Yarrowia lipolytica: one gene and its partners. The protein of the gene in region 3 interacts with the protein of the main gene of each other region in a pairwise test. Links are inferred from orthologs where the notes say so. Each region holds a gene or a part of one and is shown on either strand. Other genes may lie near its edges.

What was found. The genes of interacting proteins can lie anywhere in the genome.
Region 1: the proteins of YALI1_D25370g (region 3) and YALI1_D13679g interact in binary tests that used the Schizosaccharomyces pombe proteins (3 or more experiments, as listed by UniProt). The link is inferred for Yarrowia lipolytica from reciprocal best matches to the Schizosaccharomyces pombe genes cdc5 and cwf12.
Region 2: the proteins of YALI1_D25370g (region 3) and YALI1_E40144g interact in binary tests that used the Schizosaccharomyces pombe proteins (3 or more experiments, as listed by UniProt). The link is inferred for Yarrowia lipolytica from reciprocal best matches to the Schizosaccharomyces pombe genes cdc5 and cwf5.

Annotation. Positions count from the first base shown.
Region 1 is NC_090773.1:1,366,665-1,369,282, reverse strand, and holds YALI1_D13679g (uncharacterized protein), read left to right. Parts: upstream 1-1,327; coding exon 1,328-1,990; downstream 1,991-2,618. Other genes in the region: YALI1_D13686g (uncharacterized protein), read right to left, coding at 1-618; YALI1_D13611g (uncharacterized protein), read right to left, coding at 2,464-2,618.
Region 2 is NC_090774.1:4,013,483-4,016,073, reverse strand, and holds YALI1_E40144g (uncharacterized protein), read right to left. Parts: upstream 1,700-2,591; coding exon 629-1,699; downstream 1-628. Other genes in the region: YALI1_E40161g (uncharacterized protein), read left to right, coding at 1-478; YALI1_E40097g (uncharacterized protein), read right to left, coding at 1,936-2,591.
Region 3 is NC_090773.1:2,536,017-2,539,709, reverse strand, and holds YALI1_D25370g (uncharacterized protein), read right to left. Parts: upstream 2,689-3,693; coding exon 529-2,688; downstream 1-528. UniProt on the Schizosaccharomyces pombe protein: Involved in mRNA splicing and cell cycle control.

The sequences.
Region 1 (2,618 bases), about 1.2 Mb from region 3:
GTAGTCTTCGGGGAAACAGGTTCGGAACCGGTCCTTCAGATCAACTGCAGTTCGGTTGTTGAATCGGAAACGGGGGTCAGTCAGAATCTTCTTCCAGTTGCCCACCCCGTGCACCTTGCAGCCCTCCATGAGATCGGCAGTCTCCTCCTGGGTCCACCGAAGCCGCACACGTCGGGTAGTGGCAGCAATACGGTCAGAAGCCTCTCGATCGGAAACACGTCGGTCACCGGGAATCAACACCGAAGTCAGAGGAACCTTGTCTTCAATATAAGTGTTGATGTAGCTGGTATCGTGCTCTTGGCTCTGCTGATGCTGTTGGCTGTGCTGCTCCAGCATGTCGCCCACGTGGCGGTCGCTAGCGTTCTGCTGGTCGTTGGATGCATTGTTGTTTCCGTTGGCCTCCTCCTCTTCCTTTTTGGCCTTTTCAAAGTCGTCCAGAATGCCAGAAGCTAGGAGCGAAGCGTCCAGCTGGACAGCGGCGGCAGCCACGGCCTCGGTGTTTTGTTTCTCCTTGTCCTCCTTGTCCTTGTCGTCATTATCGTGGCTGCCATTGTGGTGCTCACTGTACTGCTTCATAATCGCAGGGTCGATGCCCACGTGATCGCCAAAGTGAGACATTGTGGTTGTGTGTTCGAATCCTGCACAGCTCCCAATAAATAAACGCTAAAACCGGTGGGGTTCCTTTTAGAGTTGAAGTCACGTGTGTAACCTTAAACAAACGAATGAAATCAGTCCCACGGCAAAAAAGTCTTCAACGACAACGACGGTGCGCTTGAAAAAAAAAAACCTGCGTTAGTAAATCGGACAAGTGGTGCGACAAGCCGTGTGTTTGCGACGTGTTTTGGTGTGCTGGTGCCTCCGCTCTCTCTCTGTTTCCTCGGTTGTTCCTTCTCTTCATGATCACATACCTTGAAATGTCGTGGTAAGGGGTAGGGCGAAGGGTTTGTTTTTGGGGCCAAGGACATTTATATGATTTTGAGGAATGTCGATAGAGTTCGAGAGGGTAAGTTGGAGACGAATGGAAAAGGCAACATGGAGGGGATAACAGGCCGCTTTTCAAAGGTCTGAAACCCGTATTGAAAAAATAAATGGAGTCAAGAGGGCATTTAAACTGAATCTGGCAAATTTCTGCTCAATTTTCCCATCTCAAACAGTCTGTTTTCCACCCACACTCGCCCCAGCACGTGAGCTCGCATACGTCATCACCATGCATATTTGCCCACTGTGCAGGAAAAGAGCAGGGTGTTGAACATTGAATCTAAGGCCGGTCAAGTAAATTTATGGCATTGACCAGCTCCCCCACCATACACACAAAAGGCCGCCATCAATGTCGCGGAACTCGGAAAAGCAGGGCAGCATGTTGCATCGGTTCCAGCAGCAACAAGCCAATGCTGCTGGCTTGCTGGACGTTGGCCGCACAGTTCGCCCAACATACATCTCTGGAGTGGAGAGTCTCCCCCAGGCTGAGAAATGGAGATCTCAGGTCATGAAGGAGATTTCCAGAAAGGTGACCAAGATCCAGGACCCGGCGCTGTCTGACTTCCAGCTCAGAGACCTCAATGACGAAATCAACAAGCTGATGAGCGAACGGCATCGATGGGACCTGCAGATCCGAAGTCTAGGAGGGCCCAATTACGCCTCGTTTGGAGGAAAGAAGCGAGGTTACCAATACTACGGACGAGCTAGAGAGCTTCCAGGCGTGTCCGAAATGCTGCAGTCGCAAAAGAAGGACGATACCAAGAAATCCGGTGACTTTTACATCCCTCCAAAGAACCTCAATATGGTGTACTTTGGCTACGCCGATGATAATGTCACGGGGCTGATGGAGTTTGAGAAACAGAGAGAATCTGAATTACAGGATATGCTTGCTGGAAAACCAGACGAAGATAGTGGTTTCGTTGTCGGAGATATCACTGTTCCCGAGGAGGGAGATTTGGAAGCACGATTACTGGAGGAAAGGAAACGACGTGTGCAGGCTCTGCTAGACTAGACTGATAGCGCAAGATCTGTCGCTATCGCTGTACATCCTGTATCCCGCGCTCTGGGGACGTTCGTGTTATACATACTGTACATTGTAAATTATATAGCCAATATTTATTACCATAACATTAGTAACATTAGTATGACCTACAAGTAAGTAGTGTACTTGTACTGCGAGTACAACTGCAACTTTTTAACCTATCCAGCAGGCTATCAGCCCTGTTTATGAAACAAGTTGAAGTAAGAAACAAGCCATTCATCTACGAGTACTGTATGTACTTGGGTGCTGGACTCATGACATACCCTTCCCCAATACAAAATGTCAAGATTTTTTTATCTTCGGCTACAAGTATGTATAGGTACTTGTACGTACTCTACTCGAACTGTAACTATCTCCATGATTACATCGACTGCAACTTCATATATCCATGGAAACATTTCTCTCATTAGTCAATCATGCATTGTTTATGTAATCGTGTAGTTTTACTCTTCATCATTTGTGTATCTGGAAGATTGGGACGAAGCCGTACCTGGTCGCCGGGGGGTGGGAGAATCGGGTTCCTCGGACGACTCTATCTCAGTTTCGGGCTCCGCACTGTCTCGCCTCTCCGCCTCAATATCCTCCTCTACCTTGATCT
Region 2 (2,591 bases), on a different chromosome or scaffold from region 3:
CGGAGCCAACCTCCAGCAGTTTCTGAATGTCGAAAGAGATCGAGATCGGAGGGCTGGAGTGTCGGACACTAACCCCGGCCCAGAATACGTTCCTGCTTTCGAGCGGGCGATCCGCCAGCTAGACAGGAACGAAATCATCGACTTCTTCGTCCAGTTCATCGACGGACTGGATCTCCAGACAGGTGAAGCCCCCAAGCCCAAGGGGCTGGGTCAGGAGTATCTTGACACCCTGGATCGTGTCCCCAAGAAGCAGCTCAAGGAGTCAGACTCATGCGCCATCTGTTCCACGCCGTACCTGGAGGATGAGTTTCCACTGGTAGTGCGACTTCCATGCAACAGAAAGCACCACTTTGATCTGGAATGCATCGCTCCATGGCTCAAGCTGAATGCCACCTGCCCCATGTGTCGAAAGGATCTGGCAGCCAAGGCCGAGATCGAGCCTGACAGCGAGGAGGAGTTTGACGACACTTACGGTTAAGCAGAAGGTCAATGTTGGTATCATACCAGATAGACAAGATACAATCATAAACACCATGTACACTAACTATTTTATACAATGAAGAACAATTAACTGTGTGGTTGAATAAATAATAATTACATAGTGAGTACAAGTAGTCATTAACCAGCCCTACAACTCAATGTTGCCCTGACTCTGGTACTTGATACCCTGACCAGGAGGAGGGGGCGCAGCTTCATCTCGCCCAGCAGCTCCGTCCTTGTTAGAACTTCCGCCCTTACTTCGAAGATACTTTTTGATCATCTGGCCGAGCTTCCACTGCTCGTCTGAGGACGATCCCAGGTTTCGAGGCTTACCCCATGCAACACGAAGACGACAGCCGTTCAGGACTAGTCGTCCTCCACTTATGGCAGCAGCAGCTTTCTCTGCAGCAGCTCGAGTCTCAAACACCACATACCCACAATGAGCCCGATGTACAACCGTCAACAAAGAGATGGTTCCTCCAGTCTCCGTGAAATGCTTTCTGATCACGTGCTCTGGAAGATCGTCCTCTACACCCATGAAAAACAAGCTCTTGATAGAGGCGTCCTTGGGCACAGGTGTTGTACTGCCCGTCAGAGGAAGCTTGGATGCAATTTTGGTGACATCGGCCGTCAGAGCCTTACTGTCGCGGCTGTCAGCAGGCCGTTTATCCTTCTGGCCCTTTTCATAAAGCTCTTTTCTGTACGGCATGGCGTTAGCCAGCTGCTTCAACAGTCCCTTGGCTGCACTCTGAGCCTTGCCTGTACCAGTGACTGAGTTGTCCGTAAGAAGTCGTTGATCCTGCTTCAGTTGCTCCTCGTAGTTTTGAGCAATAAACTGCTTGGTGATGGTGTTGGAAGATGAGCTCAGAGAGAGTCCCCCGCCGCCTCCCTCCTGCTCCATTTTCAAAGCTGCATCTCGAATAGCCAACGGCAGTCCATATGTGAGATCGAGAGAACACGACTGGCAACAGTTCTTCTGTCGCGAACAAGTAAGACAAACGTTCGTCTTCAGCGGCTTTCCTCGAGAAGAGCCTTTTTGTGCACGTTCTGGTTGCCACCGGAACACTGTGAAAGGTCTTGTACACATTTTGCACTCGGCACCGTACTTTTCTTTAGTCATTCGAATGTAGGGGTTGGCACCAAGACACTGGGTGCACACTGCAGGCACCTCAGTGTCCTCCCACGTGATTTTGTTGGTGTCTGACTTGGTCGTTTGCATGGGGATGTGTGATGATGATGGTGAATTCACCGTCAAATATTTCCTAAACTACAAACTTTGATATTTCTGTCTGCATCCTGATATCGATATTCAGGTTTAGGGTTAGTAGATAGTGGGGAGGAAGCACAGCACTGAACAAAGCAGTAATTGGGCAACTACAGTACTTCTACATTACAACTACAAATAACACATGGTATGACATAATAATGAATATAAATTAAAGAGCTTCCTCCACATCAATACCTCAATCTCCTCCCGGTGTGCGACTTGTACAATGTACGCTTCAGATGACTCATTTCACTGTTGAGGTTGGAAGACCACTGAATAGATCCAGGCTCTGCTCGAATTCCAGGGCCATCAGGATCGTTGTTAGAGTACCGAACCACGTCGTCAATGAACTCGAGTGACTTTCTGAGCACCTCCTTGTTGCCAACGAGCTTGTCAATCTCATTGGGCAGAGCAGTGACGGGCTGACCGAGCTGACGGGTCAACATGGTAAGAATCCTGCGAGCATGCTCGACACCCATCGAGTCAACTAGATAGAGTTGCAGCCGGTTGTACTCGTCATCATGTGCAGCTCCCGTCATGGACCCGGCACACCTACGATACCGCTCGTTGGCCAGAAACATCTCGATCTTCTGACGAGCAAGAGACACCAGGGCAGGGTCCTTGCCTCCGTAACCACTGTCGGAGCCAATGTTGATGTTGACTCGAACGTTGTCGCCAGACTCTCGTCGTCTATGAGGCTCGTAGTCTCGATAAGAGTCTCGATAAGAGTCGTGACGAGACTCCGCATGCCGCTCGGTCTCCCGACGTCGTCCACGGGCCAGCTCGTTCTCGGAATCAAGACGCCGCTGTCTCTCGCTCTCGATCTCCAGCTTCAAACGTTCAA
Region 3 (3,693 bases):
CCAAATTAGTACGTTGAGTCCCCGCCTCCGGTCCGCTTCTACACGAGTATATACGTAGTTATATACATACTCGTAGCTCTTGTATTATAAATCGACTGTCGGAAAATCTTTTTAGACCAGAGATAGGATTAGAAATGTAGACGTCAAGTATGTACTAGCGATGATAGTCGTCGAGCCCAACCTCTGGCGCACTTTGACTGGGGGCCAAATGAACAGTAGCCTGATAGCACACACGTAGGGGGAGGATTGACGTCTTAATAGATCACAAGTGCATCATCTGCTGCCGCAATCGTTCCTCATTCCACCATTCATATAGTCAATAAGTATACAAACGTATTCGCTTAGAACTTCTCCACTTCCCCACTAAAAAGTACTAAACGACCCGGATCGCCACTTCCGGAAGGATCCACCTACTTGTGCTGTATCTACCCGAGCGCAGGAGCACCCCGGAGCAGAGGCCTTCACCAGCCCTGTTGCTCCATCAGCTGTTCAAAATGCACAATAAATAATTACTTAACTAATCGACTCCTAATGGCCACCCTTGGCGGCCTGCTCCTTAACCTTCAACTCACGGTATTTATCCTGCGCGGCACGTTCCTTCTTGACGAGCCAGTCAACCTCCTCCTGCAGAGCCGCGCTTCGCTGCTCAATGGCAATCTCCTCCATGCGGGCTAACTCGGAAAACACGGCAATCTCGACCTCAACAGACTCAAGTTGAGACCACCGAGAAGTCAGCTTTTTAGATAAAGTAGCCTGGCGCTTGGCATACGCCTTAAACTTGTCCACCAGAGCAGTCTCTTCGGTCTGGCAAGTTTCCGCAAGAGAAGTTAGCGTTTCAACAAGCTGGTCGGATATGATTTCCACACGGGTCTTGAACTCCTCCTCGGACTCGTCGGAACGAGCAACTGTTCCAGGAAGAGCAGCCGTCTTAATATCCTCCTCCTGCACTTCTTGCTCATCGCCCTCCATCAGTTCCATCTCAATCAAAGTTTCGGCATCCACTAAGTCGTCGAGAGAGAACTCAGACTGCATTAGAGCCACAGAATCGCCTTTATTGGGAAACCTAAGCTCCTCCTCTCTGAGAAGAGCAACTACTTCTTGACCGATAGCATCATTGTAAGTAACTTCAGGAACAGTAGCCCGGGGAAGACCTCTCTGAAGAGTCTGAGAACGAGTCTTGAGAGCTTCTTGTCGCTCCTGCTCCTCGGCAATTCTTTTCAATCGAGCTTGTTCGCCCTTATCAACTGGCAAGTTATCTGTAGGCTTCTTTTCCTTATCAGCTTCCTCATCTTCCTCTTCGTCCTCCGCAGTGATTTCGAAATCGTTCTTGGGCTTAGGAAGAGAGGCCAGTTTCTGGCGCAGAATAGAAACAGGAGTAGCTTCGACAGATCCAACCAAACCCAGAGCGTCCCGCTTGATAGGAGTCATCCCAGCAGGAGTAGCTCCTCCTATATCGGATCCAGCAGAAACACTAGTGACAGCCTTGTTAGAAGGCAGCTTGGGGATTGCAAATCCATCTTTATCAGCTTCAGCTTCGTCGTCGACCTCTTCCTCGGTTCTCTTACCAAGCACAGACCGGTTCTCCATGGCCTTGATCTCCTCGATTGTAGTCTTTACTTTCGACTGCTGAACTTGAGGAGTTCGAATGGAGTCGTCCACAATCTTGTCATCGTAATCACCCGACAAGCTTGACGCCACTCCGTCTGCATACCGCTTATGTAGAGCTTCACCCTGAGCTCCCAGCTTCACAATCTCCTCCATTTCCTGATCCTGGATCTGTGGCTCAGGAAGATTCAGTTTTCGTCGCTTGGAAATCTGATCTTGCAAGTCCAACTGTGCCAGTTGAAGTGTTCGCTGAGCAGACGCCGTCTTTTGCTGCTCCTTTTTCTTCTCCTCATCCTCCTTGGACAAAGTTGCCTTGTCTCGCTTTTGTGACGGCCCAGGTGCGTCCGCAGCTGTGCGGTGCATTTGTTTGTGTTGAAGACGCTCCGAGTCGTTTTCATGCTCCTCCTCGGCAGTTGAGTAAAAGCCACGGGCCGGTTTGTGTTCAAAGGGAATATCGGCGTTGTAGTCCATCTCATTCTTCTTCCTTTTACTCAGTCGAGTGTCGATTCCTGCATTTTTGAGCTCTCGTCGCTTCTGAAGCTGACTGAGCCGTCGCGAGTCCTCTAGCATCCGTTCTCGATCCTTTCTTTTCGCCTTCTTACCCTGAGTGTTGGCCAAACGAGCTCGCGCTTCACTCAGCATTTCCTTCTCGTCTTCGTCCATGTCCACGGCGTCAGGCCGGGCAGGCTTGGTTTCGGGAAACTGGTCACCTTCAGTGGCGGGTGCAGATGCCACCGCAGAAGCGTCTTCGCCCTCCACCTCGCCAGCAACTTCAGCTAACAAACGCTCGTATCGCTGAATGCACTGGTGTGCAGTTCGCCCCACAAACGGGGCAATCGTTCGCCATTGTGCAGGAAAGATCTTGGCCAGATGCAGCAGCTTCTCGTCCTCCTCTCGCGACCACTCGATTTTCTTGATGGTCGGATCAAGCCACTCGGTCCACCGAGCCTTGCACTGTTTGGCTGTTTTTCGAGCCAGTAGAGACGACACTCGCGCCCATTGGTTCAGACCATATTTGGAGATGGCAGCCCGCAGGATTTCGTCCTCGACGTTTGTCCAAACTCCTCCTTTGACGTACGCCATGATGTTTTCGTGTGTGTGATGATAGTGGTGAGAAAGTTCGGAGGTGAGCTCATGCAGAATATTTGGTAACTAGAGTTTATCAAAATGATTCAGACGGGAATCGAACTGACCAAATATATGAGCTTGTAGAGTGCTGGAAAAGAAATATATAATATTACAGTATATAAAAAAAAAACCATTAGAATAAAGATATATTAAAAAAAAATTAAAGATATGTGAAAAATCATTAGAATTTTCTAAAAAGAACTGCTGTGAATTATGTAGACCCAATCATTCTCCAACATAAATATCTGAACATACAGCATCTTCTACGCGAAATGAGCTGTCCCTCGCAGTTGGTCCACAAAACTCTACATCAATCGAGCCTTCCAATCATCTCAGAGGGAGTAAGAAATGTCAGTTTCCTGGTGGCTCTCCTCCATCTCCATCACACGGTCTGTCTGAACTTTGACAAATGACGCGTTTCGAGAGGTAAACTCGCACAGTGTTTGTTTGAAATGAGCTGAAGAGGGAAGAGGATACAAACGCAGATTGCAGACATTTTGAGACACTATGAAGCGTGTATGATAACAGAAACATGTGCTGAATCCTGGGAAGCTGTTGTATCGTACCCTCGTCCTGTACATACTTGTATAAGGCGCGCGTGTGTCTGATGTTACTGTATGTGCTCTGCATGTATCATTATATTGACCAATGTGTAATGTCAGGAATATGCCACAGAAGAAGACGATAAAACGTTTGGGTCTTATTAAAACACATACCCCCTGACTTGTCGTACCGGTGAAGCCGATAATACAGCAGCAGATCACGTAGCTCTGCAATTTCCCCCTTTTAATGTATTCTTGTATCCGCACTGGTCGCACTTTATCATGCATATTTCAGGCATACCCATTTCTCCGGAAATGTACATTTTGGGGGTGGGAATGTGACGTCGTGTTGAGGTGGTTGGAGCGGGTTTGAAGACGAGAAAAAGACTGGAAACTGTTCAACTGGGCAGATGGGATT